2 linked regions of the Rattus norvegicus genome follow. The protein of the gene in region 2 interacts with the protein of the main gene of each other region in a pairwise test. Links are inferred from orthologs where the notes say so. Each region holds a gene or a part of one and is shown on either strand. Other genes may lie near its edges. The genes, in order: Pnma2 and Enkd1.

Region 1 (16,620 bases), on a different chromosome or scaffold from region 2:
CTGGTGAACACTGACATCCTGAGACCTGATACTAGCGCACTTGATACTGCCTGCTGGGTGTTCGAGACTTAAGGAGTTTAAAATACACTTGCCTAAAAATCAATCCTCTACAGAACTGAGAAAACACACTGGAGTGACACACAACGAAGGGTGGATTCCTAAAGTCTTGTTCGGGTATCACTTCTGAGCACTTTTGGTGCTGAGACCATTTAACTCAGTAGAGCTTTGCTTCTTTCTTGTTGTGAGGTGTGTCACAAGCACTGCCCCTCCTCCACACACACACACATGCATGCAAGCACACACACACACCCTATAACGAGTAGATTGCTGCACACAGGATATATGTGTTTCACGTAAGTTGTTGTTGTTGTTTTAAATAAGGTCAGTTTATCCTTCTGTGGTATGAGTAAACATTGGTCTACTTGGCGTGGTTTTAAAAAATTACATGGGGCTGGGGATTTAGCTCAATGGTAGAGCGCTTACCTAGGAAGCGCAAGGCCCTGGGTTCGGTCCCCAGCTCCGAAAAAAAGAACCAAAAAAAAAAAAAAAATTACATGAATGTGTGTGTGTGTATGTGTGTGTGTGTGTGTGTGTGTGTGTGTGTGTGTGTGGTGTGTAATGACAGCTTGCAGGAAGTGGTTTTCTTCTTCTACCCCATGGGTTATGGGGATCAAAACTGCCCGGAAGAAGGAATAGAGAAAAGGAAGAGAGAAGCCACTGTTTTTGAGTAGGTAGAAGGTAAGCATGTAGCCACATGGAGAAAGAGAAACAGCCCAGAATACTAGAGAGTGTGTACTTAAACCTGGGCCAGTGCCAAAGCAGAAAACGAAAAGGAAAAAGTGAAAATGACATTTCATGGTGGTTCTGTAGTGGCTGTATAGATAGCAGGGATTCTGGGAAGGAAAAGTATATGACCTCATTAAAGGGATAGTTATTCTTCCCATCTCATTAGCATAGAGAAGGTGAATCTGCCTTCCTGATGGGCAGTCCACTAGCCAGGCGATGAACCTGTCCAACTGGATTAACTCATGCTGTGGTTAGCCTGCAATGGTATGTCTCTGCTTAGACCATTCTTCTGACCAGAAGGCAACGGTTTTCTCTGAATGAGATTCAGAAGAGCCCTGACTAAGGCTACTGTAAATTCTCCCCTCTGATGAGGTAACCCTAAAATCATTTAGGAGATGGGCTAAAATTGGGGAACAGATATAAGCCATTTTATCATGAAAAAATCTATGGACCTAATTCTACAGCTATCCACAAATGGATTAGTGTCTGGCTAAAGGTCCCACCCTCAAGTGTAACCCTTAGGAAGGGGACAGGACCAGAGAACCAGGGATACATTGGGAATGCCTAGAAACTGCCCGGCCTGTTTCTTTCCTTCCTAAGGTTTTGTTTTTATTTTATGTGTCTGGTCTGCATGTATGTGTATGTGCCACATGTGTGCAGTGCTTAAAGAGACCAGAAGAAGAGGTTGAATCCCCTGAAACAAGAGTTATTGATAGTTGGGAACCACCGCATGGGTACTGGGATCCCTTCAAAAGAGTAGCAAGTGTGTTTAGTTGCTGACGAGTAGCTCTTCAGCCCCTGCCTGGCCAGTTTCTATCTCCTGTTCACATTATCACTCCGTCTGAAGAGACTGACAAGCAACTTGACCAACCAAGCTGTCTGGCCAACCCTTGTGTAGGAAACTAAGATTCAGGAGTTTTAGGTATTGGAACTTAGTCTTGTATTTTTTTTTTTTTTTAACAATCTAGTTAGAGTCCCTCAAACTCCAGGTTTTTTTTTTTTTTTTTACCTCAGAAAGAAAAACAAGATGGAGCTCTAGTGGTAGTATATTCCTCTAATCCCAGAACTCCAAACTTGGAAGGCTGAGGCAGGAAGAATACCAGTTCAAGGCCAGCCTGGGCTATAAGGTGAGAACCTATCAAAACCAAAGAAAAAGGAAAAACAAAAAACCCCAAAACCTTCATTCCTAATGCTTGACTTCAGTCCTGCACTTTAAAGCAAAGTGCACTAGAATGGGATTAGCCTTGTCAAGCATTACCAGATCAGAAATGGAGTAGGGATGTCTGTCAGTTGTTCCTTGAATTGTCCCAGCGGCCAGAGCCCTCCCTTTCCCCTGGCTCCTCTCTGCTCTCGTGTTCAAAGTAGGCCTCTTCTTCTTCCTCCTCACGGACCACCTTCATCAGCTGCAAAAACGTGGGCAGTGGGCCCTGATCCTTCAGCTCCCGTAGCCTGCACCAAAGAACGTTGCTAAGGTTGGCTCCAGCCATGACCTGCTCCAGACGTACCTGGTCAGCAATGTTCCGGGGGATGGCCCTTTTTTCCACAGCTCTCCGGAGCAGAGTCTCCAGCCGGAGCACATAGGCTGAGATTTTCTCTCCTTCTTGCTGATAGGTTTTTAGGTATTTGACCTGTGAGGTTCTACGGCTCTCCATGCTCCCAAACACCTGCTTAAAGGCCTCCAGACATTCTTCTGCACTGATAGAAGGGTTGTCTGCTTGTACTATGTGCATGAGGTCCAGGGCAGGGCCACGGAGGCTCTCTGTCACCCACCTTTTCTTTTCTGTCTCAGGGATGGGCCACTCTTTGGCTATCTCAGTGGCCTGTTCCAACCAAACCTCAAAGGGCTCCTCCTCTGGGGCAGCTACTGTGCTCCCAGAGAATACTCTCAGCTTACAGTACCTCACAGGCAACAGAGGCCTCTGGGCGTGAACCATTGCCTGCCCTACCAAGTGGGCCAATAACTCGGGGGATGTGCAGGGTGTGGTGGCTGGAGACACTCCCTCATGCTTCAGGGCTCGGAACATCCCTGCGACCGTCTGCCCTTCTTTTTCTAGAAAGAGGTTCAGTCTTTGGAGAAACTCAGTGTCCTGATTAGGGGTCTTGAAGATCACTTTCCAGACACCTCCCTTTCCCTGCACCTCACTGGGAACCACAGACATATCCGTGTCCTCCATAAGTTCTAGTAAGACAGCACTGGTATTGTCTTGCTTCTGGAGTATTTTGCCCAGTAGCCGGTAGCTGCCCACACACTTCAGCGCCTCCTGTAGGACTGTCTGGACCTCAAGCTCACCACAGTTCACAGGAATGCCAATCACCAGCAGGGACTTCTGGACATCCACACCCATGATCTTGCACCACTCCTCCAGCAGGGCCACTGCCATTGTCCCAGGGTGTGCTTTTGCACTTGGTCTCCAAGCCGCTCAAAGTCTTGTGGACCAAATGCCTTGTCTCTTCACCCAGTAGCAAGAACCAGACGCTCCCTGTCTGTCTTCAGACCCACAGCAAGGCTGATGGTAGGTAAGGTGGGCTGTTGCTCTGCAGTACGTTTGCTGCTGTTTCCGAGGGTTTGTTGTAGCTGTGTGGTGTTGACTCTGGTCACTGTGAGGCACCTGGAACAACAGTCTCCTGGTTTCTGTCACCTCACCTCTCTCTCTAATCAGTGGGTAGGTGGTGTCCACTCTAGCACCCGACGCTGGGGACTCACACAGCAGGAAGCAAGGACTCCTAGGGAAACAGAGACTCACTTTATACATAGCCCTCTATGTCCCAGGGTACACCCACACTCTAGTGTGGGGTGAAACTAGGAGTGGACCAAGGGCTCTAACTCCCACTGTGCTTGTGCCTACCCCACTCTGGTGAATCCCCTTTTTTGCCGACTGTACTTTTTCCCTGTGTGGACCAGATAAAATCCAGTCTTTCCACCCTGAAAACCCCGTCAGTGAGCAGGATTCAAGACCTTCACCCTTCATCAAAAGGATGAATTAGCAGATGTAGTAAAATACCTGTTTATGTGTTCCAGAATGTTCTTCAAGAGTCAAGGAGCCACGTACTCAGCTTCCAGATCAGGAAGATGTCACACACCTCTATACAGTAGTATACATGTGTCTTACCTTCAGCCAAGTCAAGCTGTCCTGTTATACAAACATGAATAACATGTTTTTAGGCCTAAAATCTAGTAACAAAGATTAATGCCCTTATTAAAGACGTAACAGTTCAGTAAAGGATGAAAGAAATGACCGTCCTCTGAATTTAAAGGAGCAACCTAAACAGGACAGTGTCACTACACTTCTTTGAAGAAAGAGTTGTTCAGGGGATGCTCCTCAGTTAGCAGAGTGCTTGCCTGGAAGAAGCCTTTAGGCAGCCTAGAGTCCAATTTCAGCACCATACAAATTGAGCAATCATTGGTAATACATCCCTGTAATCCCCACACTGGAAAGCTGGAGACAGGAGGATCAGGAGTTTCAGATCATTCTTAGCCACAGGGAGTGTGAGCCAGTGTGGGCTACATGAGAACCATCTTTAAAAACAAATCCAACCGAATTGTGTTTGGTGGCACTCCCAGCATTTGTGAAGTTGAGGCAGGAGGATTGCAAGTTTGAAGTGAATCTGGGCTACATAGAGACATCATGTCTCAAAAGAAGACACAAACAAAACTAAACAGAATCCATTCAAACACTTAAGACTAACTAAACATGGGTATAGCAGAGAAAATTCAAATCTCAGAAAAAGAAGTACACTTTGGAGTTACAAGTCAGTCCTCTTCAGGTTTTGTGTCTAGCCAGACTTTTTCAAGGGCCACACATGGAAAGTCACCCATCCAACTCCCCCTGTGGTGCTTTGAATGAGAATGGGCCCCATGAGCTCATGTATTCAAATGCTTGGTCCTTAGCTTGTGGAACTGTTTGAGAAGGATTTCGGAGGCGGTGCATCACTGACAGTGGGCTTTAAGATTTCAAAAGTCCATACCATTCCCATGGTCAATCTCTGTCCCATGCTTGTGGATCAGATATAAGCTCTCAGCTACTGCTCCAGCACTGTACCTCCCTGTCTGCCATACTCCTGGCCAGCATGGATATGAATTTCCCCTCCGAGACTGGAAGCCCCCATTAAACGCTTTCTTCTATAAGTTGCCTTGGTCATGGTGCTTTAGCAAAGAAATAGAAAGGTAACTAAGATGTTTAAATTTAACATTGTCATTTAAATTTGACTGGGCCATTGAGAAAAAGACAAAAGGCAGAAAACATATTCACCACTAAGTGATGTGTGCCCCATGCTTGCTTTGAAGGGCTGGGGAGAACTAGAAGTGTAAAAGGGGATGCTCCCAGTGACAGTGTGACCCCTTAGCCACGAGGATGCCTTCAGAGAAGCAGCTTCCTAATTGGCTAAAAGTCACAGAGTGCCAACACTAGACTGTGCGTTCTTATGGGGCCCATGTGGTATGCTACCTGATATGTTGTAATTTGGAGCTTGGCCGTGCCTCTCAGACACTTGTAGAGGGTATGTTAGGGTGCTACAACCATCCCCCTTTGGCCTGGACATTTCCCATGACTCTGAAGGAGGCCATATGCCATAGATGCTGGCCTTAACTATGGCAGCAGTAGGAGCAGATCCACTCTTCCTGGAAGGTGCTGAAGACTGGGCCTCTGTGCCAAAACCGGGAGAGCAAGGTGCTACCTCACCCTGTGTCTGACAGAATGGGGGCCCAGAACTTCAGACCAACCCAGGCCTGAGATCTCCTTGTAAAATATGGGAATGAACTTCCTCCCCATATTCATTCGCTTGGAGTCACTTGGAGGAATGAGAGATGAAATGAGCACTGCAGGGGTAAGACTGTAGCTCAGTTGGTCGAGTGCTTGTCACTATGCACAAAGCCTTGAGTCGGATCCCCAGCACTGTGCAAACCAGACATCGTGGCGTATGCCCATTACCCCAGCACTTAGGTAGTGAAGGTAGGTGGATCAGAAGTTTAACTCACTAGGCTACATAGGGAGTTTGAGGCCAGCCTGGGGTTACATAAAGGACCTTTTCTCAGAAAGAGCAAAAACAAAAGAGACATACCAGGCAATGGTGTCATGTGCCTTTAATCCTAGCATTTGGAAGGCAGAGGCAGGTAGAACTCCGTGAGTGAGTTCCAGGCTAGCCTGGTCTACAGGGTAAGTTCCAGGACAGCCAGGGTTTTTACACAGAGAAATCCTATCTTGAAAAACTGAAACAAAACAGAAAACGAACAAACAAGAAAGAAAAACACAGCCAACCAATGGCACTGGATGCCCAGATCCAGAAAAAAATTGTCACGTGAAAATCCACTAGTCTTAAAGGCCCCACGTGTCTGGAGAGACTGCTCAGTGGTTAAAAGCACAGGTTTGGTTCCTAGCACCCACATGTTGGCTTACTCTGTGACTTCAATCCCAGGGCATCTGGCACTTTCGTCTGGCCTTCAACAGCCCCGGGCATGTACACGGTGCATGTGCATATATTCCAGCAAGATACATACATACATAAAATGAAAGTTAATCAAAAATAATTTTAAAACCATAAGTGAAACACCCTTAATGTACAAAGAGCCACTAAGGAAATATTCGGGTATGGAGGAAGAATGCAAGGATTTTGTATTTTTCTCACTAAAGGGGCCTACAGGATAACCTGTTGAAGGAACCAGGCTGGGGGGGGGGGCAGAATTACCGGGTAGTTCAATTAGACACATGACCATAGGCATAAGGCCTCCTACACTGGTGTTCTAACTTGGAAGGCAGAGAGGTTGAAAGACCTCACCTCAGGACTTTAGTGCAGCATTGACAATTCCAGTGGAAAATTTCTATTAAAATGTCAAGCACATCTGGTGCTAAGGTCCATCGGCTCTCCTCCCATGGAGTCCTTTCAGCTCCTACAGGATGGTGTGGGGCGTGTGTGTGGTGTGTGTGTGTGTGTGTGTGTGTGTGTGTGTGTGTGTGTGTGTGTGTGTGTGAGAGAGAGAGAGAGAGAGAAGAGAGAGAGAAGAGAGAGAGACTCCATCCATCAAGCTATCTCCAGCAACAGGGGGCGTTGGTATCCGCATGCAATCGTTCCCTAAGCTAAGGCTGACAATGGGTCTGATTTCTTGGTCACAACGCCCTGTGAGAACATGCTGCAGTAAACTGCCTCTCCTAGACCAAACCCATCCATCTTCGTGAGCATGCTCAGATCTCCATCCAGAACCCCTAAAGGATGGGCAACACTTCTTCAGGTTTCAGCCACTCGGGAAAAACGGGAGGGGCTTTAAAGCACTCCAGGAGATGGGACTAAGCCTCGAACCTGGCGGCTGTGGCTGAACCGTGTGCATGCACACACACTCCGAATCCCCACACTTTGGCTGCCCCACAATTCACAACATGTAACCTTCCCCAAAACAGCGGTCTACCTCTACCCTCCATACAGACCACTGCGGCCCCTAGAGAAGGATCATCGGGCAAACTCGCGGGGCCTCTGGCGCAGCGTGCAACAGGGGCTAGGGGAGCCAGACAGGCGACTTGAAAAGCAAGATGAGTCCGAGTGTGCTTCGGTCTGCTTAGACCCCAACCATTTTGGGTGGGAGTGAGGGTAACCAGGGTGTGTGTGGGGGGTGGGGGGGTGGGAGATATCAAATCCCGGACTCGTTGAACCCTTCCTGAGTCAATGGGCTACCTGCAGGACATGGCCCTTTCAGATAATGTTGAGGGTTCCCAGTCTCTATGCTGAGGCTCAATCCACAGCCTGCATTCTTTACTATTCCCTCTAGCACTACAGGGTTGCTGCTCCCCCCACCCCCACCCCCCACCCCCGGTCATCGCTTCCATTTGCTACGTCCCTCTGCTTTTTTGCCCCCGCCATGTTGTGAGCCCCACCTCCCAACCACAGCGTCTGCAAGCGGGAAGAACATTCTCCTTTCCTTTTGCTTCTTGCAGTGCACGCCTCGGCCCCTAGATCGTAGGTAAACTTAAGCATTGGTGCCAGAATACTTGGATGCCCTTGCTGTTTCCAGGGTCACCCCTCCCCAGCTTCCCAGAGCCTGCCGGCTTGGCCCTTGGCTCCCCCAACCCTCAGCCCTCACCGAGGCTAGGTGAGCTCCAGGGCCACCTTAGCAATGCAGTGAGGCAGGTTGGGGAGTGGGACTCTGGGCCAGGATCTGCTCTTTCCGGTCTTTGCCCAGCTGTATCTCTCGGACACTCACCCTGGCGCCGAGAGCGGTTTCTCCGGCGGCTGCTGTGCGTCCATTAGCGGGTGGAGTGGCCGCTTCACTTCCGGAGCGCGGGCTTAGGGCGCCCCCCACCCCTTCGTACCCTCCCTTCTCCGTCTCCTCCTTCTGGGTCCCCTCCCTTCTTGTCCCCTCCCTTCTGATCGCGCGTTCCGCCCGCCCCGCCCCTCCCCGCGCTGCCGGGAACTGGCATCCTCTGCCGCAGCGACCGCCCAGCTCAGATCCAACTTTGCTCGGAGGTGGCGTGGCGGCGCCGGGGGGCGTGGGCAGGGAGGGAGAAAGCCGGGTCAGGAGGAGGGACTGCGAGGGGTGGGTCGCCGGTTCGCCAGCCCTCCATCCTTTCTGTGCACCTTGCGGTAGGCAGGGAGTAGCAGCCGCGGCAGCAGCAAGAGGCTAGTGCACACCCAACCAGGGAGATTTAGGGAACCACGGACGGACGGACAGACAGACAGAACCTTCCCTAGCGCACCCCCAGCCATGGCCGAGAGAAAGCAATCTGGGAAGGCAGCAGAGGACGAAGAGGTCCCTGCCTTTTTTAAAAACCTGGGTTCGGGCAGTCCGAAGCCGCGGCAGAAATTCTGCGGCATGTTCTGCCCCGTGGAAGGATCCTCGGAGAACAAGACCATCGATTTCGACTCGCTTTCAGTGGGCCGGGGCTCGGGGCAGGTGGTGGCTCAGCAGCGGGATGTCGCCCACTTGGGCCCGGACCCGCACCGGCAGAGCCGGCGTGCCAGCGGGGAGCCATCTGTTGAATCGGGCCGGAAGGTGGAGATCCGGCGGGCCTCGGGCAAGGAAGCTCTGCAGAACATCTACGATCAGGTTGGTATGGGGGGTGGGTGGGAACAGAGTGCGGGGCTGCACCCTGGCTTGTCGCGGAGGACCGAGCATCCCCGCGTGGCAGCCAGCACGCGGCGCCAAGAGCTCTGCCTCCCGCATCTGCACGCGCACCGCGCCCTGCCCACCCCTTCACCGCGCAGGGTGCGGCGAGGCACGGGTTCGCCAGTGGGCGTCTGAGCGCCCACAAAGGCTGCCCTCATCTTCTTGTGCCTGGGAGGTGGGAGACCCGCGTCAGGGACCAGCTGATCCCCGGGCTGGAGGCGTCGAGTGGCGATTGGGGTGGACCACTGTGCTGTTCTTAAATCCTCCCGGGCGGCATCCGATTGCAGCTGCGTCTCAGTGCCCCACCCTTTTTTGATGCAGCTCAAAGAGAGCAGTGCAAGGCTGCAGTGAAGGCTAGAGGGCTCCCTTGGGGTCTGTAGGGACTGGGGCTTACATGGCTACTCTGTGTGGCAAGGTCTCCGCCTTGAGTGCACTCAGCACCATGGTTCTGAGCTCGGAGGTCAGGACCACGGCCAGCGCCCGGAGCCTCTAACCATTGCCTGGACTGTATTCTGCAGCCAGTGAAGAGCCTGGGAGGCTGTGATGTCACCGAGGAAAGCTAAATAGTCCATGTGGAGAACAAAGTTCTGCTAAGTGTCTCGGCAAGGGCTTCCCAGAGCGCTTCCCCAGCGCTGCTTGGGAGGCACTTTGGGAATGGGGAGAGACCGCACGGATTATATTCAAAGAGCCAAAAAGGAAAGGAAAAATGAGGGTGGGGAGGGGAGGACTCACATTTGAAGACAAGACTCCCCGATTGTGTTAATGGCGAGACAAAGAAGGCTAGCTTGGTTATCCTTCGTCATGGGAAATGTTTGACATGCTCCAGTAATTCCCAGCAGTGCACGTTTCAAGTCCAGGGGTCTTTTCACACACATTTCCTTCAGTTTCAGGGTGACGTTTATGCTAGTATAACATTTTTTTCACAGCTTTAATGCCTCAACTGATCGTTTACAGTGCATATGTCTTACACGTTGCTGCTTCAGTCCCATGCTCGTGGTGAAGATAAGAAACCAGTCTATGAATGACTTTATATTGAATCCTGTGTGCCCTCCCTTCTAGGGCAGGAGGAAGGTTAGTCCTAAAGGCGCTTCCTTTCAGACAGCCACTGGAGAAGTTGGGGATGGTCTGCACATGCTCACTGGGGGCTTGCCCAGCATTCAGGTTGTATGCTACAGAGAAAGCCTCCGGGAACAGCTCTGGGGGCAATGATTGGGGAAACCTCCCTCTTTCCTGACACAGCAGAGTGTTCCAGCTTTTGACTCTCCTAGGATCACTTCTCACCAAAGGAGGTGGCAGGGGTGGAGAGACTATTTCCTTTTATTTTTGAAAGATGAAGCAAGTAATCATTTATTTTACACCCATTCATCTTCTAATTTTTATATTTATATTTCACTAAGAGGCAACTGGAATCTAAATCCAAAAGGCTTGCTTTTTTTTTCAGGTGGTCAATTGAAGTAAATGTTTCTTTTTTTTCTTTTTTCCTTTTCTTTCTTTCTTTTCTTTTCTTTTCTTTTTTTTTTTAAGATGGAGTCTCACTCTGTAGTCCAGGCTGGACTTGAATTCATGACAATCCCAGTATCTCTTGGGCGGTGGCATTATAGATTTGAGCCACCATGATTACCAGTTTGCTCTGTTTGTCTCTCTGTCTGTCTGTCTATCTATCTATCTATCTATCTACCTACCTACCTACCTACCTACCTATCTTTCCTTTTCTTTCTTTTGTGGTGCTGAGGCCTGAACTCAATGGCTGTGCTTGCTAAACAAGTGTTGTATCGCTGAGCTACAACCTTAACCATATATTTCAATGTTGTACTAAAAGCTGGGTAAGTATAAAATGAGTCCGTATGGGAGTATGTTGGTGACAACCAACATCACATAACACTGAGTTTGAGTGAGCACTCTCAAGTAGGCAAGGTGTGAGGGTCATCCCAACAGCCTGGAAGGAGCAGGACCACACCTGGAGAATCTGTAAGAGAACATGCAAAGGTGGCAAATGAGGTGACCTCAGTGCCACAAAGGCAGCATGTTAATATTCTAGCCTGAAAGGCTGGAGAATCAGGAGCAATTGTTGGAACACACCCTAAATTTACAGAAACTCTAAATTGCAAAGCTGAGGCACTTGGAAGGGAGGGGGCAATTTGCAGACAAAAGCACCAGACCAGATCCTTAGGTAGTTTTAACCCTGGAAAGCCATCTCTTCTCAGCTTCCTGGTCATTAGTTCTAGACATTGCTTCTGGCTCGGCTGCCTTTCTACAACCCTCTCTGGTTCATTTATCACAAAAGGAGCATTCCTGCGGGGTTTTGTCATTCATAACCAGGGACATTTACCCAGCTTGGTGCTTACAGTATATGAATTTTTCATGTTTCACAAGAGGCTGTGCATATATGTATAATGATGGTGACTTCTGAGAGCTCAGCTGGTTCACTCTTTTGACAGAATTAGTGATTATTGCTTGTATTTAGCACATGACAAGGTGTCTTCAAGCTTTTGGAGCATTCTTCTAGAAGCCCTGGCACAGAGAAGAGTAGATGGAGTGGGTTATGTTCCCTTCTATCTTGAACCTGTGCTTGTAAGGAATCTTAAGGGCGGTCAGAGTTGCTGAGTTTACTGGCACACACCTTTCATCCACACCGTGGAGGCAGATGCAGGTGGAGGTGCAGGTGGAGATGCAGGTGGAGGCAGATGCAGGTGGACCTTGATGAGTTCAAGAGCAGCTTGAACTACACAGTGAGCTATAGGTCAGCCAGAGCTGCATGGCAAAATATTGTCTCAAAAAAAAAAAAAAAAAAGAAGCAGCAATTTGCTCATTTTCCACACCCCACCATGAATCCCACTGTTCTAGAAAGGCTTAGAAAGGGCCAGAACAGGGTCCTCAGCCACATCACTACATCACTTCTGGGAGATGAAAGGGGCTGGTGGATATATTCCCAAGGATGATGAAGCACCATGTGCAGTGTGAGCAGCCCATAACCAGAAAGCACTAGGAGTGGTTTGCCCTGACAGAGCCAATGGAGGGGTTGAGACTAAGGAAAGCTTCTTCTGTCTTGTTGCTTCTTTTTCCCATGTGTTTCCCAGGGGCCAGTTTGGGATGCAATGAAATTATATTGATTCCTAGCTGGGAAGGACCTGAGCCTTTTAGGATAAAGAACAAAAGGACAGCTGTTTTAGAGTGTTTGTAAGCCTCACACCACTGTAACAGAAAAACTGAACTGGGGTACTTATGAAATAAATAAAGATAGATTTGTTCAATCTCATGGTTCCAGAAGTTCAGGTCCAAGATCAGTTGCCTTATGGGTTTGGCAATGGGGGCAGACATGGGAACGAGGGGGAGAAAGAGAGAGAGAGAGAGAGAGAGAGAGAGAGAGAGAGAGAGAGAGAGAGAGAGAGAATGAATAATCCCCCATACCCACAATGACATTGGGACTTCCTATGAAATCCTACTTCTTAAAGATCTGTAGCACCTCCCCAGGGATCCAGACTTCACACACATACCTTTGGAGGACATTTAGTGCTTAACCACTGCACTTGTCAGTGAACATGGATCTTTGAGCTCCATCCACCCTTTCTCCTGGAATCCCTGTTTTCCATTATTCCATTAGGTCAGAATAATCCTCTCATCCTAGGATACTGTATCCTGAGCCTTTTTCAAGGATCTTTCACCCCATTTAACCATGAGCAACCTGTGCAGACTGCTACCAAGCTGGGGAAGTAACTGTCCCCTGGTCTAGGACAGGAACCAGTGAGTGGGCTCTGCAGAGCTCTGCTGAGCTTGGCAGCATCATGATGTGGCTCAAAAGTGTTCCATAAGATATTTACAGGAAACTTAAATCCCACTGTAGTGCTGTCTTAGGAAGCAAGGCCAATGAGCGCACCCTACCCTTACATTGTCAACATTGATGACACAAGGACCTGAGACTCTTGAGTTGTGTAGCATTTCCTCTTTGCCCATATGATGCTTTCTACCATGTCATATGGCAATGATGAAGGCTTATGGTGTAATCTTAGACTTCTCAGCCTCTGGATTCAAGCACCAAATGTAATTCTCAATCAGGACTGGGAAAATGGAATGGTTTAGTCAATAAAGTGCTTGCTGCACAAGCATGAGGACCTGAGCTGATCCTCAGTGCCAACAGAAAAACATGAGTGTGGGTGAGCATCATGGTGTATACCTTTAATCCTAACACTTGGGAGGCAGAGGCAGGCAGATCAGCTCTGTGAGTTCAAGACCAGCCTGGTCTTTAATATGTTCCAGAACAGCCTTAGCTACATAGTGAGATGGTGTCTCAAAAAAAAAAAAAGTAGTGGTTTATGGTGGTGTGTGCTTGCAATCTCAGAGCTGGGGAGACACCGCTGGGAAGATGTGTCTCATGGGCAGCACCCTAGTCAAAGGAGTAATCCCTGCGGCCCAGGAAGAGACTTTGTCTCAAAAGACAAGATGGATGTCCCCAGGAAGAATACCTAGGGTCAACCTCTGGCTTTCGCACACATGTACATACATGTACAGCACCACATACATAATTATGCATGCATATCTGCACATATGCATACAAGTAAATATATAATAGAATAAAATAAAGGACAAGGAAAATGTCCTTGTTATAAGTTATCCAATGTATGTATTCTTTTTTTTTTTTTTTGGTTCTTTTTTTCGGAGCTGGGGACCGAACCCAGGGCCTTGCGCTTCCTAGGTAAGCGCTCTACCACTGAGCTAAATCCCCAGCCCCAATGTATGTATTCTTTACAGTAGCATAAATTGGATTGAGACAATGACCACACCTATACAATGCCTTTTAATATTCCCTTCCATTCTAGGTCCACATCTCTTCTCCCCAAGTTGACTATCCCTCAGCTTTAGGTCCCCATTGACCCATGACAGCCTCCCTACCCCATTCTCTCTACTCCTTTTTCCTCTCAAGGGCACTGTGTTTTAAATTCCTTCTCTTCCCGTTTGTTCTTGCTTCTTCCATTCAACATCCCCAAATGTTGGCTACAGAGGAATCCTGGTGGTTCAACCTGCACCTCCGTGTACTTGGCTAATACCCAAGTTGTCCCTTGAGATTCTTGTGTGAGAATGGATGTGTGGTGGAAGTTTGGCTGGGAGCCTAGATCCAGGTCAGTAACTTGAAACTCTTAGTGGTCCTCCTGCCTCAGCCTCCCCAGTGCTGTCACTACTTCCAACTTTTGACATGACTTCTGAGGGTCAGCTTGCAAGGTCAGCACTTAACCAACTGAACCATCTCCCAGTCTTTTTCTTTTTTAATGCTTAACAGTAATTTTATAATTTTTAAAATTACAACACATCATTAATAAAAAGCTTGTTCAGTTAGTAGATGTGCAATTAACTAATTAATTGTAAGAGGAAGAAGTAGGATTCGCCAGCCTTGAACTTGAGGCCAAAGTTGAAGAACAGCCTGCTGGTGAAGCAACCACAGCTATCTCTCCAGTGTAGCTCAGGAGGAAGGCTATTACCATTGGCCCACCACCAGCAAGACCTGCCCCAACCGTTTGAAAATTGAGCAGTGTACAGATTCCATGCTAAGGAATTAAGGCTGGGCTGAGCCACCATTGTAACCAAGACAACAGTTTTCACGTGTCCTTTGACGCAACAATATCTTTCTAATTCCTTGAGAAAAGAGGGAAAGTCAGAATTGACCATTGTCTGAGCACTATAGGTGCTGTCTTTACCTTGAAGGCCAGAGCTCAAATGAGACTTCATCATTTAAGCAGGAAGAAAGGGCTTCACCCCTGAACCTCAGTTGGCAGTCCTGTGACTAGGGTAGAGGCCTCTACTCTTGGTCACACTCTAGCCCTAGCCTTGTGGCTAGCCAGATGTTCTGGCACATGCCTGCAGTCCCAGAACTTGGGAAGTGGAAGCAGGAGAATGAGGAGTTCAAGGCCAGCCTTGACCACATAGTAAGTATGAATGTAACCTGGGATTTTTCAAGCCGGTGAGGTGTTTCACGGGTAAATGCACTTTTCTGAGTTCAAGCCCTAGAACCACACACATGGGAGGGAAATCCAAACTCCTCCACGTTGTCACCTGAGTCCCATGTTACTATGGCTTACACACTTGCTCAACATTAAATAAATAAATACGATTTAAAGGTTTTTAAATGATCTTATCTTAAACAAACCCTAGTTCTTTGGCTTATGACATTAATATATTTCAAAACTAGGAATATGCTCCGAAAAGAGAAATGGACAAGTTCTTAAAGAAAACAAACAACCTCTCTCCAACCCCACCCATTACTTATGAATCATGCCTTGACTCTCGACTGTGACCTTCCACTGTTGAGTCTCCGTGGCAGCTTGTTGCATCCACATGACTTCAAAATCTTGCCTTTGATAGATGTGTTGTCACCATGTTGAAAATCAGGAAGGGGAGATTCACTGCTGTCTATTTACCTGACCATGAAGGCCTTGTTAATCTGGGAAGTGCATGGACAGGGCTTAGAATGGAGCTGTCCTAACCACCCTGTGAGTCTTCCGATGCGTTCTGCAGCTCAGTTCTGTGGACAGTGGTGTCATGAACTTCAAGGTGTGAGACAGTTCTCTTGGCAGAGTCCTTACATCCCATTGAGCACCAAAGCTTTATGGTGCAGGTCCAGGGGCAATGCTTGGTGCTTTCTGTTTTGTTAATCCTACACTGGTTTTATGAAGCCTGTGCTATTGTGGCCTTTAGTTTCTAATGGAGATATCTGAAATTCAAAGCAACTCCCAATGGAGTACAAAGGGTGGCATTTGAACCCGGGACTAGGCAACTGAGAACTTCCTAATCACTAAGATGCATTGAGCTGCTTCTGTCCCCAGCTCTTTGAGACAGTCTCTCACTGTGTAGCCCTAGCTGGCCTGGAATTTACTGTGTAGACTAGACTACCCTTGAACTCCTGGTGATCCTCCTGTCCCTGCATCCTAAGTGCTGGGGGTAAAGGTGTATACCGTCATGCCCGGCTCTGAGCTACTGTTTTTGTTCTTCATTTCTTACCCATCTAAAAAATAATAGTTACTGCAAAAATAGTCTGAGTGACAACATTTCTTTTACTAGTCACTCTCCAATGTCATTTATCAAATGGATTATTGATTTGTCTTTATGAATGTGCCTATAATGGATGATATTCTGTCCATTTATTTTAAACACCAGAAATATCTTCAACTACCCCTGGGACACAAGCCAGGACTGAACAGCATGAATGACAACCCCTTTCTAAGATTAGACACTGGATGACAGTCTGCCCTTTCTAGTTGTTGTCAATCATAGTCTAAGGGCAGCTGGGACCGCTGTAACAGATTACTACAGACTAGGCTTCTCGAACACCAGGCATTTATTCTCACAGCTTGAACAAGATTAAGCTCTTGAAGTCCAAGATTAAGATGCTTGCAGATGCCCTACCAGGGGAGAAGTGCTCCATATTCCTCACGCGGTGGAGCAGGTTCTCTGTCTGTTATAAGAACATTCATCTCACTGGGCAGTTCCACCTTTATGATCTAATGTCTTCCAGAAGTCTCATCTTGTGAAGCAGTCTTGCAGATTAGGGTTTAACACGTGGATTGTTGAGGGACTCAAACATGTAATCCTTAGCAGTCATGACTGATAAGTGAGCGGCAAGGGAATTGTTGACATTTGAGTTTTTTTAACCAATGAGAAGTATGTTGGCATAGGCCGAAAGCCACACCCAGGTGGTTCAGTGAAAAGGTCAGAGCCTTGCAGTTGAGGGAGAGAACCTGACACTGAAGGGCCTGGGT
Region 2 (14,527 bases):
CATCCTCCACTTCCTATTCTGCTTTTCTGTCTGCCTCCCCTCATTGCATCCTCCCTCCCACTACGGACCTCCAGTGTCCCACTGTGGCCTGGGTATGTGGAGAGCAAGAGAAGACCTTGGACAGTGTCCCTTGTACTGGAGCTGAGGTTTAAGCTTAAGGCTGCAGCTGTTGCAGCAGTTCTTTCCCTCACCTGACAGCCTCAGTCCTGTAGTGAGAAAGGGGCTTGGGCTCTGTCCTGACACTCCTCTCCCCTTTCCCTCCCGCCTCCAGTTTGACGCCGAGTTCCGACGCTTTGCATTACCCCGCACTTCAGTGAGAGGCTTTCAGGAGTTCTCGCGGTTGCTGTGTGTGGTACACCAGATCCCTGGCCTGGATGTGCTGCTTGGCTATACGGATGCTCACGGTGACTTGCTGCCCCTCACCAATGATGACAGTTTGCACCGGGCCTTGGCCAGCGGGCCCCCACCTCTGCGCCTGTTGGTCCAGAAACGGGGTGAGGATGGGGTACAGTGGGCAGCTTCCTTGGGGTAGGGTGACAGGGCAGGTATATTAGGGTAGACCATACCCAGGGCTCTCAGACTTTACATTCTGCAGCCTCTGCCCTTGGTCTGACCTCCAAGGAGCAGGAAAATAGTGGCATTGTCCATAGCATGGGCCCAAATGGGAGAAGAGTCTCTAATCTTAGTACCCCCCTCTCCTGCAGCAGAAGGTGACTCGAGTGGCCTGGCTTTTGCCTCCAACTCTCTACAGAGGCGCAAGAAAGGGCTCCTGCTACGACCAGTGGCACCTCTGCGCACCAGGCCACCCTTGTTAATCAGCTTGCCCCAAGATTTCCGCCAGGTGTCTTCAGTTATAGACGTGGACCTACTACCTGAGACCCATCGACGTGTGAGACTGCACAAACATGGCTCAGACCGTCCCCTGGGCTTCTACATTCGAGATGGCATGAGTGTTCGTGTGGCTCCTCAGGGTCTGGAGCGGGTACCTGGGATCTTCATCTCCCGCCTGGTCCGTGGGGGCCTGGCTGAGAGCACAGGGCTGCTGGCGGTCAGTGATGAGATCCTCGAGGTCAACGGCATTGAGGTGGCCGGGAAGACCTTGGACCAAGTGACGGACATGATGGTTGCCAACAGCCATAACCTCATTGTCACTGTCAAGCCTGCCAACCAGCGTAATAATGTGGTACGAGGGGCATCTGGGCGTCTGACAGGGCCTTCTTCTGTAGGGCCTGGGCCTACTGATCCTGACAGTGACGATGACAACAGTGACCCGGTCATTGAAAATCGCCACCCTCCCTGTTCTAATGGGCTGTCTCAGGGACCCCTGTGCTGGGACCTGCAACCTGGCTGCCTACTTCCTAGTGCTGGCAGCTCTCTGCCCTCCTTGGATAGCAGAGAGCAAGCCAATTCTGGCTGGGGGAATGGCATGCGAGGTGATGTTAGTGGATTCAGCCTTTGACAGGCAAAGGTGCAGCCTTTGTCACTGCTGCCCGGACTTTCCAGTTGGGGAGGGAGATTAGCTTGCTCACAGAGCCCGCTCAACCTGGTGAACATTAAAGGTTTTCTACAAATGTAGACATGGTCCTTTTGTGTTCCAGCCCCAACCTCTTCTGACCCTGTAAGTCAGCCTTCTTCTGTGGGCACAAGACAGGAAGGATAATAAGAGCATGGGAGAGACCTTCCTTTGATGATGCAGCAGGAGGCCCACTGGGCTTGGCATTTTTAAGACAGCTCCTATGGAACACAGCCACTGTGTACAAACGGTTTAATTTTGACAGAGAAGTTGGGAGGCTGGTGGCTCTTCTGCAGCCACTGGTAACTACGAAGTGCTTTCGATTCTGCCCACCCCAATGCTTTGGAGCTATAACAGGGCTTGAGTCTGCCCTTTGCAGCCATGAGCTGATCCTAAACATGGATCTCCCTATTAATCTACCCACAAAGGGGGGGAGGGGCTAGGTATCCATCTTCACAAAGACTTTGGGTCGGGAAAAGATCTTGATAGCCTCTTCTATTTGCACCAACTTCCGGTCCAGTTCTGCACGGTAACCCTGAGCTCTCAGAGAGTCTGCCCCAGCAGGTAACAGCACTAGCTCACGAAGCAGCTTGCTCTGGCCTACAAGGGGGCATGGGAAGTGTGAGTGTTGGGTAGGCATGCATGGTTCTCCCAGGAGCTCCCTTTCAGCCACCCTTGCCCATGTACTCACTCTGAAGCAGATTGTTCAGTGTCTCTAGCCGCTGATTCTCAGGCATGAGCGTGTGGCCAGGAGGCATGGAAGGGTCTGGCTGGCTACGCTTTCGAGCTTCAGCTTCCTTCCGCCACAGGTCCCTGCGTTCCAACAAGCTGTGAATGCACAGGCCCAGGTTGATGACACCAAGGCAGAATGGTTCTCGCCCTCCACAGGATTCCCTCACTGCACTCAGCCCACAAGACCTACTTACTAATGGGGAACATGGCCTTTCTGGGTGGCATTGTAGTGCTCCTGGGCTTGCCGCTGCTGTTCCAGAACCTGTGCAAGGACCTGCAGGGAGCGGGAATGGCGCCGGGGGGCTCTCTTGGCAGCTCGGGCATTGTGACTAATGAAGTCCACACCTAAGCCTGGTCCCTGCAGAGACATGGCAAGCATGGTGGAGACTGTATCTCTGTACCTACCCTGCCCCCAGGACTCCTGGAAGATGGCCTTTAAATCCTCATAGACCCTCTCACCTTAGCTTTGGAACCTGGCAGGGTGAGCTGAGGACTGGAGGCACGGGATGGTGGGAGCCCAGGGCCACAGCGGGAGTGTGCCCGCAGAAATTGGGCAGGTTCTGTCACAGAGGCAGGGCCAAGCTCCTGGAAGGTAGGGTACGGCAGAAGAATCAGGGAGTCTGAAGTCAGGGTCCTAAACCACAAGACCATTCCCCTTTCTGTCCCTCCTTCCTCTGAGAACTTTTCTATGCTCATCTCTGTGGGCCTCCTCCTTGAAGGAACTTCTCAACAACATTTAAATATGCTTATTTCTCACAGTCTTAAAAAATGACTACTTTGCTATCTCCCTTTGGCCCCATTTAACTAGCATCCTTTCCTCCCTCTAGCTCTAGTACCCCACATTACTGAGGGCTACCTCCAAGCCCTCAAGACCAAAGGATGCTGCTCTCTTAGCCCCATTGTCCTCAATTTAATTGTCAATAACCTTCTGGTTTCACCAATGAGACCCAGAGCTTTGTATCCATCTGCTTCCTGGACACAGTCCCACCCCCTGGCAGTGCCACAGATGCTTCAGCCTAAATACAATCTCAGGTGACCTTGTCTTTTCTCTCAATCCTGAGTCTCTTTCAGGGTCCCTGGATAGAGAAATAGTAACTACCTCCAAAACCTAACCACTGCCTCTGTCCTCAGGGGAAAAAAAATGTTGCAAGAAATAGTGGTACATGCCTACAGTCCCAGGACTCAGGAGGCTGACGCAGAAGTAACTGTTTGGGGCCAGGCTAGGTTACAGAGAGAATTCAAGGACAGCCTAAGGCTAAACAGCAAGCTACCAACTCAGAGAGAAATCATCTGGGAGTGGTGGTCCAAACCCATTTTGTCCACATCTGGGAGGCTAAGACAGGAAGGAGAATTATGCCAGTTCAAGGCCAGCCTGGGCTACAGGAGTTTGAAGTTAGACTAGGCTACACAGTGAGACCCTGTCTAGAAACAAAGTAGCAGTGGAAGTGGTGGTGGTGGTGGGGTATGATAGCACCCAACAGTTAAGGACACTGGATGTTCTACCCGGGAATGTGGCTTCCATTCCCAGTATCATGTGGCAATTCACAGCTCTCTGTAACTCCAGTTCCGGGAGATCCACACCCTCTTCTGGTCTCTGTGGTGCACAGACATACATGCAGGCACCCAGACACATAATTTTGGTCTTTTTTAATCTCAAAAAAGTAATTAACTAAAAGAAAAAGAAGAGAGAAAGCAGCGTGGTAGCGCACACTTTTGATCCCAGCACTTGGTAGGTGAACAAAGGAGCATCAGAAAGTCAAAGAACTTGAGGTCAGCCTGGGCTACGTGAAACATAGAGATAGAGACAGAGAAACTGAGAATGAATTAGTAGGAAGGTTGAGGATATAATTTTATGAGTACCCAGTGTGCGTGTGCCCCAGGATCCAATCTCCAATATCACATGTTGATAAGTAACTTAGGTAGTTCTTTCAGATATGTATTTAACTGGCTTTCTGTTCTAACCTTCTGCTTTCCCCCTACAAATAGAATTATATCTATATGCCCATTGCCCCTACTCCCTGAGCCCAGAACTTTTACCTACCTGTGGGGTTTCATCTCTGGGGAACCTTTTCTTCCTCTAGCCTAATCCTCACTTGCCCTGATGCCATCAGTTCCTCAGAGAAGGTCCACCAGATGTCTTAGTCTTTGTGAACACACCACACACACACACACACACGCACGCACACACACCCCGTAAGTTAGATTAGATATAACTGCCTTGGCCAAGATGGATATGTCCGCCTGCCTGAGACAGATACCTTCATCCTGGCCTTGACTCGAGACTCTACACTGTCATACTTGGGTGAGCGCCACAGTGCCTTCAGGGGCTTGGGCTGGGCCTGCTCCCGGCTGCGTTCCTGGTCTTGGAATCGCCTCTGAATCTCTTTGATCCGCCTCAAGTTTTCCTTCTCATGGTCTTTTGGATCCTTCCCTGGAGGAGGGGAGGAATGTTGCTAGGAACAGCCCTACGAATGGCTGTGCAACTCAGACTAGATCTCATACAGATTCACACCCTACCCCTGGGAGATGTCCAGTATATGAGAAGCCCTGGGTTCAATCTCCAATATCACACACAAAGTTCTTAAATACAACCAAGACCTCTACATGGAAGTTGAATGCCATACACACAGCAACATTAGCAGCTTATTCCCTTACACAGAAATTGTGATTACCTTCTACATTTTATGATATCACCGAGTATATTATACATATGTCCTGTCTTGTTTATTGACTCCCTTACTTCTTTCCCCAAAATTTATTTATTTATTTATTTATTTATTATTTTTTTTTTTTGGTTCTTTTTTTTTTCGGAGCTGGGGACCGAACCCAGGGCCTTGTGCTTCCTAGGTAAGCGCTCTACCACTGAGCTAAATCCCCAGCCCCTTATTTTTTAATTCACATTATATCCCAATTGTAACCCCCACCCCAGTCCTGCCCCTGTCATATCCGGCTCCCTATTACCCCCTTCCCTTCTCTTCAGTGAAGGGGAAGCCCCCCTTGGGTGTTACCCTACCCTGGGACAACTCCCATACTTTTTAACCTTGTTTTCCTAACAACCATAGGGCTTGGCACAAAGTAGGCATTAAGGGAACTGTTCTATCAAGGTGTGAAAGCTTGAAGCTGGAGCTCTCTGCAGAAGGATGAACTCTGATCCTGCAAGAAGTATTTTGCCCTTCTTTTAGGCTAGAGAAATTAAGACCCAGAAAAACACATTAACTGAATGGGTTCAAGGCGGTTAAGAAGCACCCTATTTTAATCTCTGCTTTTGACCTATGAATGCCTCAATACCCCGTCTGCAAGGACTTACTCTTAGGAGAGACCCCTGAACCAAGGGAGATGCCCCCCAGTTGCAGCAGCACGTCCCCCACACCTCGCTGGCCACGCTCTAGGATCTCTCGGGCTCCAGGCCTGATGCGAGGGCCACGAGGAGGGCTGGAGTCCAGGTCGCGACCTGAAGTCAGCAGGTCCAGCTTCAACGCGTTTCCTTCCAGGCGTCCTTGGGCTGAAGAGCAAGACGCGGTGGAAAGCCGTGCTCAGAGGTGGGGCGGGGTACTCGCCCCGCCGCGGCACCCCGCAACTCACCCGAGGCCGGCCGCCGGTAGTAGTCCGGGCAGAGAGTAGGGTCTGGGGGGATGGGTCCAGAGATGCGGGACGGGCCCTCGCACATGATCCTACCGTAGCCCTGCAACTGTGCATCAGGACCTGTTGCGCTGTGCAAATGTCCCCTCTAATCCCTGTCGGGTGTTTCCACCCTCCACCCGAGCTCTGTAGCCCCGTGGTACCCCCCATCACTGACCCCCACCCCTCGACTACCGCTCGTTTCCTAAGCTCAGCCCGTACCACCGCCCCGCGACTAGCACACGGCCCTGAGGGGTTCGCGGCCCCTCCCCCTGCAAAGCCCCAGCGTGGACTCTCACTGCAGCAGTTTTACCGCCAACTGTAGCAAGTCGGTAGGAGTTGCTGTTGCTTGGCAACAAATGGCTTCCTGAGGTCAGGGGTCAAATGACTAAGGCGAAATGCCTTCTGGGGTTTGTAGTTCCAGATGAGGAGCGAGTCTAAGTCTCGGGTCGCAACAGGATCCTTACCTCTCAACCTGTCTCCCCTACCAACACTGAGCACCGGTCCAGCCCTGCTCTGGGCCTGCGGTCTTCTCTGAGCAACCGTCGAGGGATGCATTGATTCCTGCCATGGCCTCAGCAGGGGCCAAGAGGCAGCCAGAAGCCCAGAATGGGGCAGCAGTAGGGTTAGCCCAGGTTGCAGAGATCCCTGAGGTGACTTGGGCATTTCAAAGCTCAGGAGGAGGAGGGGTAGGGCAGAAGAGCAGGACTCTAGGTGACCCAACCTTCTAACTGCCAGGCCAAGTCCTGCAGGTAGAGGGACCTAAGATTTCCTATTCTGTGGCCAATATGTAGTTAGGAGAGGCCCCCAAACCAAGAGAGATGCCCCAGTTGCAGCAGCTTTGGGCTTTGCCTGACCATGGGCTATCAGTTACCTATGTATGTCTTCTAGTGTCCAGGAACAGAAGAGTGTCTGGTGCCAGCACACGAGACCTGCAGCACTCCAGGTGAAGACAGGTGTCCAGTAGGACACAGCTTAGAGCCAGAGCTCCAGGAGGAAGGAATAAACCTGGGAGAGGAAGGGCTCAATCCAGGGGTGGAAGCAGGAGAGGAGAGAGGACCCAAGCCTACATCATCCATCGTGAGGCCAGCTCATGGGCCCAAGAGAAAGTGAGAGGGCTTTCAAGGGGAAAGGCTGGGGAGGTGGGTCTTAGACCTGGAGATTCCTAAATCCCAATTCCTTCAAGGCAAAGAACCTTGTTTTCTTCTAATGCCCTCACCTCCAGCTCCTGTTTCTCTAGAACAGTTGGGGCGGGGGTGTGGATTTGGGGCTTCTTAGTCTTGTAGGAGACTTAGCTACCATTGAACGCTGGGCCCCTGTTGGGTTTGGAACTTCACTAAGAAATGGACAGTTAACTAGCTCTAGTGTGGCTTGGTGGACAGGCAGGGGTAAGCCCTAGGTTCAAGACACAGGAACCAAAGACTGAAGCCTACCTCTTTCAGGCCTCTTGTCCCAGGCTTGAGTACCCCAGCCCTCCCAGGGCAAAGCTACCATGCCCATCCTAGGGCAGAGGCCGAACTGCCACCAGGGCTGCTGCTACAGAAGGAGGAGCCAGAAGGCAGCCACAGTGAATCCTCGCTGTCATCTAAACAGCACAAAAAAGCCAAGAAACGCAAGAGTGTAGGGGCTCCTGTGCCCCCAGCTGTGGCCAGCGCATCTGCACCCACAGAGACCTTGGGGCTGGAGCGTGAGTGGCAATCCCTGGGCTTTTGTTTTTCCCTTTGTCTTTGAGTCTGACGTGGCACAGCCTGGTGCTCCAGCCTTTGCTGTGCCTTGGGTTCTTGCAGGAAAAGCCCAGCGCCTGCGGCCACTGTACCAGTACATCAACTATTGCAACCCAGAGCTGAATCAGGCAGGGGATGGGGACAGGGAACCGGAGGCTGAGCCTGAGTCGGAGTTAGCCCTGGCTCCTGAGGAGGCAGGTGTGGAGCAGCTGCAGCTGCAGACCTTGCTGCCCATGGCAGGTGAGCTGGGCTTAGGCCTTGCTTTGCCCTGCCCTAATCCATTAGCACCACTGACCCATAATCTTCCTCCTCTGGTAGAGGAGGTTGGAGAGGAGCCTGGGGGTTTGTCTAGTCTAAGGGTGAGTGGCAGCCTCAAGGCTGAGGTGGATAAGACAACCCAAGTGGATATTGACAAGATGTTGAGTGTCTGTGCTGCCCCTCTTGTGCCCCCGCTGTCCCCTCAGTACAAGTGACCCATTGAGAATGTCCGGGTCTAGGCCTAAACTATGGCTTTAAGCCCGTAGGCCTAAGCCATCAGATGGAAGAAGGGATTTAGTCTTTTGTCTATACTTGAGAATTTACGCTCACTGAAAATAAACATTTACCCCCTTTGAGACTGATTCTTCAAATATGATGCCTGAATCAGGAAAGAGGTTGGGGAGAAGGGAGGATGACTGATTATTTGGAACAGTGGGGACCTTGAACGACAGATTCCTGAGCACTACCCAGACTTGTGTCAGAGTGTATGTCTATTCACTCTAGACTGGGAGCCCACAGCAGATCAAAGAACATACACCACCAAAGTCCAACTACAGGGAACAATGTTTCCTTTTTTAAAGATTTATTTGTGTATATGAGCACACTGCAGCTGTCTTCAGACACTCCAGAAGAGGGCATTGGATCCCATTGTAGATGGTTGTGAGCCACCACGTGGTTGCTGGGAACTGAACTCAGGACCTCTGGAAGAGCAGCCAGTGCTCTTAACTGCTGAGCCATCTCTCCAGCCCAAAACCAATGGTTTTTAATGGGATTACTTAAGGGAGCAGAAACAATGCCAAGATGGTTGTATCACCAAAGCTCGACATAGCACGAGTGACAGCTGACAAATATGGAAACCTGGAGCACATTGCATAGTCCGAAGGTAGCGCACCAGGTTGGAGAGTCCTTTCCAGGTATCTCAGTTGGTCTCAACCCCTTCCAGGCAGTTTGTCTGGATTCTGCTTTGTCCAGGCCTCTGGCCTGGATCTGACAATCTTCAGTGCAGCTCAGCTCAGCTTACTTCTGTCTGAAGGTTTGTTACTAACCAGGTGTGGTGTTGCATATCTGTAGCAGATGAGCTAGGCTTAGGCCTTACTTTGCCCTTTCCGTTGGGAGGTAGAAACAGGTGTACAATGAGTTAAAGGCCAGCCTCGTTTGCATAGTAAATTTAAGGCCAGGGTGTACTCTATGAGGATTTGTCTTTAAAAAACCAGGAAAAGGAGCCAGGCTTGGTGATGCACACCTTTAATCCTAGGATTCAGAGGCAGAAACGGGTGACTCTCTAGGTTTGAGGCTAATCTGCCTGGTCCCAGCAGCCAGGACTACACAGAAAAGCCCTTTCTTGAAAAGCTGGAAGAAAAAGGAGGGGGAATAGAGAGATGGCTCTAGTTAAGACTACTTGCTAAGCTTACCTAGGAGGCGCAAGGCCCTGGGTTCGGTCCCCAGCTCCGAAAAAAAGAACCAAAAAAAAAAAAAAAAAAAAAAAAAAAAAAAAAAAAAAAAAAGACTACTTGCTAAGCTGGGCAGTGGTGGCACACTTCTTTAAACCCAGCACTCAGGTGACAGAAGCAGTTGGGGCTCTGTGAGTTAGTGGCCAGCCTGGTCTACAGAGTAAGTTCCAAGACAGACAAGACTACACAGAGAAATCCTCCCTCCCCACACCCTCTCAACAAACCAAACCAAACCAAACCAAACCAAACCAAACCAAACCAAACCATACAAACAAACCAAGAACATTAGCTGTTCCTTCAAAGGATCCAGGTTCAATTCCCAATGCCTCATTCTTTTTTTATTTTTTGTTTTTTTTTTTTTCCAATACCTCATTCTTGATTCCTGTCTTGGGTGATATCTAACCCCCACTTTCAGCCTCTTCCTGTACCAGGTACATACTGTAGTGCACAAACATGCAGGCAAAACACTCAAGTACATAAAGTATTTTTAAAACTGTTCTCTACCCATTGTCATAGAAGCCAGCCTATACTTTGCCCTCAGATGGTCCCTGGTGATGCGTGGTGGTAAATGAATGTATTTTTTGGAGCTGTAAGGCCTTCACTGCAGGACTGCTGCCTCTGGTCTCAAAGACAGCTCTCTGGAAAGAGCTGAGTGAGCGATTTGTGGAGACAAAACTACTGGTCCTCCAAAACCTTTGACAGAGTTTTCCGCATTAAATGCATTTCTTCCTGTCCCAAGCTAAAATTCTGCTGTCACCACTGACCCTGTTCCCTACAAGAGAATCCATCTTCTCTGTTGAGAGGGTCAGCACCAGGGCCTGGACCTCAGACATCTCTGGGTAAGATTCTCAAGTTCCCCTCCCTCTGATCTCTGATCTCACAGATTCATACCAAAATCCTGCTGTATATAGAGTGCTTGATGATGTCACTGTCACAGAGTCCCTGCACTCTTGATGTTGCTGTCACACAGAGTACCTGTACTCTTGATGTCTCTGTCCCTCTAGCATCTTGCTCTTCTTCAAAGCTGCTTTGAAACTATTTAATGGCTCCGTGGAATTCCTTGATCAACCTGGTCTTTTTTTGCTTTCATTTTCCTGGTCTACTATGCCTTTTTTTCCTTCATCCTTCTACCTGGTGCATGACCTTGATACACACACACACACACACACACACACACACACACACACACACACACATACACACACACACACACACACACACACACCCTCTTTCTGCTAAGTCAGGAAGCACTGCATTGCCCTGAATCTGTAGCATTTTTTTTATTCCCACTGTCACTGTGAGTTCTATATCTTCATTAGACTGTGTACCCCTAGATCACACATCATTGGGTCCCCCTACCTAGTGGGAGGCTCCCATCAAAGGCCTCGAGGCATGGAGGCCAAAGTAGAGGAAGATACAGAGGTGGCCGGTACAAAGCAGCTAAAGACATGGAGAGCCCACCAACTCATGCCAGGCCTCTAGAATACTAGCCCAGCACGATCACTGATGGAGATGAGCTGGGCGGATGCAGGTGACAACAGAATTCACATGGTCCACTTTCCTAGCTTCATTTCAGGCTGCTCCCCACATCGCCAGCTTTTCTAATGCTTTCTGGCCCACAGCAAGGTCACTGAGAAGCCATAATGTTGGGACATGTGTCTCCATCTGCCTCCTGCAATGATGACATCAGGTGACGCTGCCCACAGGGGCTATGCAGACACAGTCTTGCCTACTGAGATGACCACTCATGATTTGGGATGTTTCAGAGCTAGATGACTGAGTTTGACTTCCTTATTTTATGACTGAAGTAGAAGATGCCTGCAGAGATATGACTTTATGTTAAACTCGGGTCCTGTCCTACACAGAGTTCTACACCATCTGTGAACCAAAAGATTGTCTGTTGTGGCATGACTCAAGCATACCAACATTTCTTCCTTCTATTCTCCAGGGCTGGAGTGGCAGGGACCTAGTGCTATGAAGATGGTTCATGTTTCTGCTTAAAGAACAATTCTTGAGGCACAGTCCTGCAGGCATGTCTTAGCAGGGTGCATGATGGGCGAGGTCCACTTTCCTAGCATCATTCCAACAGGGCCGTCGGGACAAGTGTTGCTATGCTCATGGAGGGGCACCGATGGTAGGATGAGTGCCATTTACCCTGGGGAGAAGCGATGCCAATAGTTTTATTCCTTAAGAGCCTTTCTGGCCTGAGGTGACCCAGGGACAATGCTGTCCGGGTGTGGAAGATGCCCACAGGAGGGCTTCTCAGTGTAGTAGAAGTAGAGGACATGGCTAGGAGGGACTCAGGCTTCACAAGTGTGAAGGGTTGTGAACAAGCGGGGGTCCTAACGATGATAAACTATTGTAGCCTAAAGAAGGTAAGAGACTTAAGTGAGAGAATGGAGTCAGGCCTACTGTAGCCTATGCTGAAGATAAAATGTTGTCTATTCTGAGAACCACATCTTAGTTGCCCTCCCATGTCCTGCTACACATCTGCTTCTATACATATGCTTGTTTTTAAAAAATGGGTAAAAATATTTTTTTGCTAGAAACCTGTAATATATAAAACATAAAGCCACCAATCAGGAAAATGACCAAAGGTGATACTGTATATCCAATCAATAATAGAGAGTGCTTGAGACAACAGATCCGGGGATGATTGATACAATACAGCCGAGTTCTCCGTCCCTCCGAGTACAGATGGTATCTTGGGGGTCTGCTTCTCTCATAGCTTGACATTGTTGAGAGGTTGCTTATGAAGCAAAGAACAAGGAAGACGGAGTTGTCGAGGGAGGTAGGAAATGGATATCATGACTGGGTAAGTAAAAAGCCTTGATTTGCTTTGAGGTTGAAAACTTGAAAGTTCTCATCTGACTAGGGTATATCAAAGGCAGCTAACTCAAGAAACTTCTACCTAAAAGTATAGTCCTGGGAACTGCTGCATTCTTCCAGGAGGGGGCGCTGCAGGATAAGTCTAGAACTAGTTTGGCTGGCTCACCCCTGGGCTCTCAGCCACAAGCTTTGGAGCCATAAAGGCTCAGCTCACCTCATCCTCGGGGACTGCAAGTTCTTGTTCCAGAGAGATGGAAAGATGTCAGGGGTGTGGATCTAGACTCTGAGAAGTGCCCTCAAAGTCACTGTGTCTTCATAAAAGTAGTCCCGCCCAATGTCCACTTACCACCTGCTCCAACACTGGGAGTAGTTCTCCGAGCATAAACTTTCTATAAAACCTATGCACCACTTCTGGGTCAGCAAACCACTTTTTCACAGGTACATCTTTGGTCTTCCTGGCCATTCTCAACTTAGGTGGAATCTTGGCATATTAGTTAAACAGACAAGGACAGCTGAGATGAGCGTACTAGAAACGGGCAGTCTTGTTAGCTTCCTGAGGGTGGGCACTGTGCAGAGCCTTCGTAGATAAGGCTAGGCTAAATCCTGCTGCAGGTCAATACCTAAGTGTCTGAGAGAAGTTTGCCCAGTGTTGGAATAAGAGCAGTATGAGGTGAGGAGCTAAAGTCTTGACCTAGCAACTTTGCTTCTCTGCTCCTCCTGGTCAGAGATAATGGGCATGGATATTTTTTGTTTTGTTTTGAGACATGTTCTTGGCTGAGTTGGATACTCTATATAAATCAGGCAGGCCTTGAACTTGGTTTACTCTGGAGGACCAGCACAGCAACAGCCCTCCAACTTTACCTCACAAAGACAACATTTGAAATCAGACAGTGCAGGGAAATAGGTCCGATGATTTCTACAAGTGGGGCCAAGAGGAAGAGGAAGAGGAAGAGGAAGGGCCTCCCCAGGCCTTTTTGGCAAGGAGCCCAGATAAGGAGGAGGAAAACTGAAGAAAGAACAGACTTCATTGAGACTTCACAATCCAGAAGACTGACAAGGGAAACAAAGCGGGCAGATTCGTCCTCCTTCAAGCCCCCACCCAGCTGACCCGTCCCTGTCCCTATCTACGATAGCCAGTTAATAAGCACAGCTGGTGACTTGCTGGCTGACTCAAGTAGTGCCAGTTAAACCTGTTCCAAAGGAATGGCACAGGCCCCTTCCTCCTTAAGCTCCTCCCCTGAGGGCTCTCCTGGAGCCAGCTACACTATAGCTTCCAGAACAGAACCCTGGGACTGGAGATGGCTCAGCAGTTAAAGGTTCAGTTCCCAGAAATCCACATGAGGTACCTCACTTCTTGCTCCAGGAAATCTGATGCCATCTTCTGGCCTCTTCGGGCACCTGAACTCATGTGCACACAAACACAGACACACATACGTACACATAAATAAATGATACATCTTAAAAAAATAAAAGAACCTCTCATGACATCCAGGCTAGGGGTCCCAGGCGCCTGTCTTCTTGGAACGGCAGGTTTGGCAACAGCCTAACAGGGAGCCTCATATCCTCTCTGCTGCAGACATTTGGGGAGCTTTGGGGGGTTCAGCCATGAGCTAAGTCATTCGCTGATGGGTAGCCCATGAAGAAAGGAGAAAACAACTGACCTACAGCCATAAACAAGCCTTCCATTATTAAAGAAACCCAATCCGAAACAAACGACCACACACCATGATGTCACTTTTCTTTTCTGCCTTATTTACTGACATTTCTCAGATGTTCTACAGTTCCCCCTTTGTCTCCTCTCTGCCAAGTCACAGGCCCTCCTCCCTAGAGTTATGTATAACACAGAAATCTCCTTTTTCTCTTGGAAGGGCTTACAAGGGGGCTGAAAAGGTCTGATCACATGGAGGGTGGGGGAAGATCCCTAAGGACTACCCTGCCACCCTCTCCAGTCCTGAGATACCCTGGTCGGAGACAGACAAGGTTCCTTGCCTTCTCCCCTTAGGACTCAACCAAGCTAGCTCCTTACTGGGTCTTCTTGTCCTATCAGACCACACTTCAGCCTGAAGAGCCCACAGCCCACTGGTCCTACTCACTGGCAGAGCCACAAGGGGCCAGGTTACAGCCCTACCCTGTGGGCCCACAGCTAGCCTAAGCTACGACAGCAGGAGCATTTGCTGCCTTGCAAGTCTGAGGAGTCAATGATGGACGGATGGATAGGTTTTTTCCCTTGGCCACCTTCAGTTGGCTCCTAACCCTGGCCCAAGCTAATTTATTAAACAAGACGCTGTGTCTCTGCTATAGCCAATCACAGCTCCCAGTGCCGTCCCTGGGCCCTCCGCCCCGCGGACAGGCGGAAGTGCATGTGCAGGCTCACAGGTTGTTCCGCTGAAGTGTTTCACTTA

Evidence for each region.
Region 1: the proteins of Enkd1 (region 2) and Pnma2 interact in binary tests that used the Homo sapiens proteins (3 or more experiments, as listed by UniProt). The two-hybrid records come from large-scale screens. The link is inferred for Rattus norvegicus from reciprocal best matches to the Homo sapiens genes ENKD1 and PNMA2.

The regions. Positions count from the first base shown.
Region 1 is NC_086033.1:45,278,919-45,295,538, reverse strand, and holds Pnma2 (paraneoplastic antigen Ma2), read right to left. Parts: upstream 8,060-16,620; 5' UTR 7,973-8,059; intron 6,671-7,972; exon of another isoform or gene 6,559-6,670; intron 3,918-6,558; 5' UTR 3,789-3,917; intron 3,511-3,788; 5' UTR 3,168-3,510; coding exon 2,073-3,167; 3' UTR 400-2,072; downstream 1-399. Other genes in the region: Dpysl2 (dihydropyrimidinase-related protein 2), read left to right, coding at 8,474-8,815.
Region 2 is NC_086037.1:50,500,215-50,514,741, forward strand, and holds Enkd1 (enkurin domain-containing protein 1), read right to left. Parts: upstream 6,203-14,527; 5' UTR 5,913-6,202; coding exon 5,828-5,912; intron 5,748-5,827; coding exon 5,553-5,747; intron 4,677-5,552; coding exon 4,504-4,676; intron 2,831-4,503; coding exon 2,705-2,830; intron 2,604-2,704; coding exon 2,440-2,603; coding exon of another isoform or gene 2,439-2,439; exon of another isoform or gene 2,436-2,438; intron 2,342-2,435; coding exon 2,205-2,341; exon of another isoform or gene 2,199-2,204; intron 2,114-2,198; coding exon 1,953-2,113; 3' UTR 1,749-1,952; downstream 1-1,748. Other genes in the region: Pard6a (partitioning defective 6 homolog alpha), read left to right, coding at 272-494, 705-1,459; C19h16orf86 (uncharacterized protein C16orf86 homolog), read left to right, coding at 6,433-6,516, 6,755-6,972, 7,306-7,550, 7,624-8,060; Gfod2 (glucose-fructose oxidoreductase domain-containing protein 2), read right to left, coding at 14,496-14,527. UniProt on the Homo sapiens protein: Microtubule-binding protein which regulates microtubule organization and stability. Promotes the stability of astral microtubules and facilitates the proper orientation of the mitotic spindle.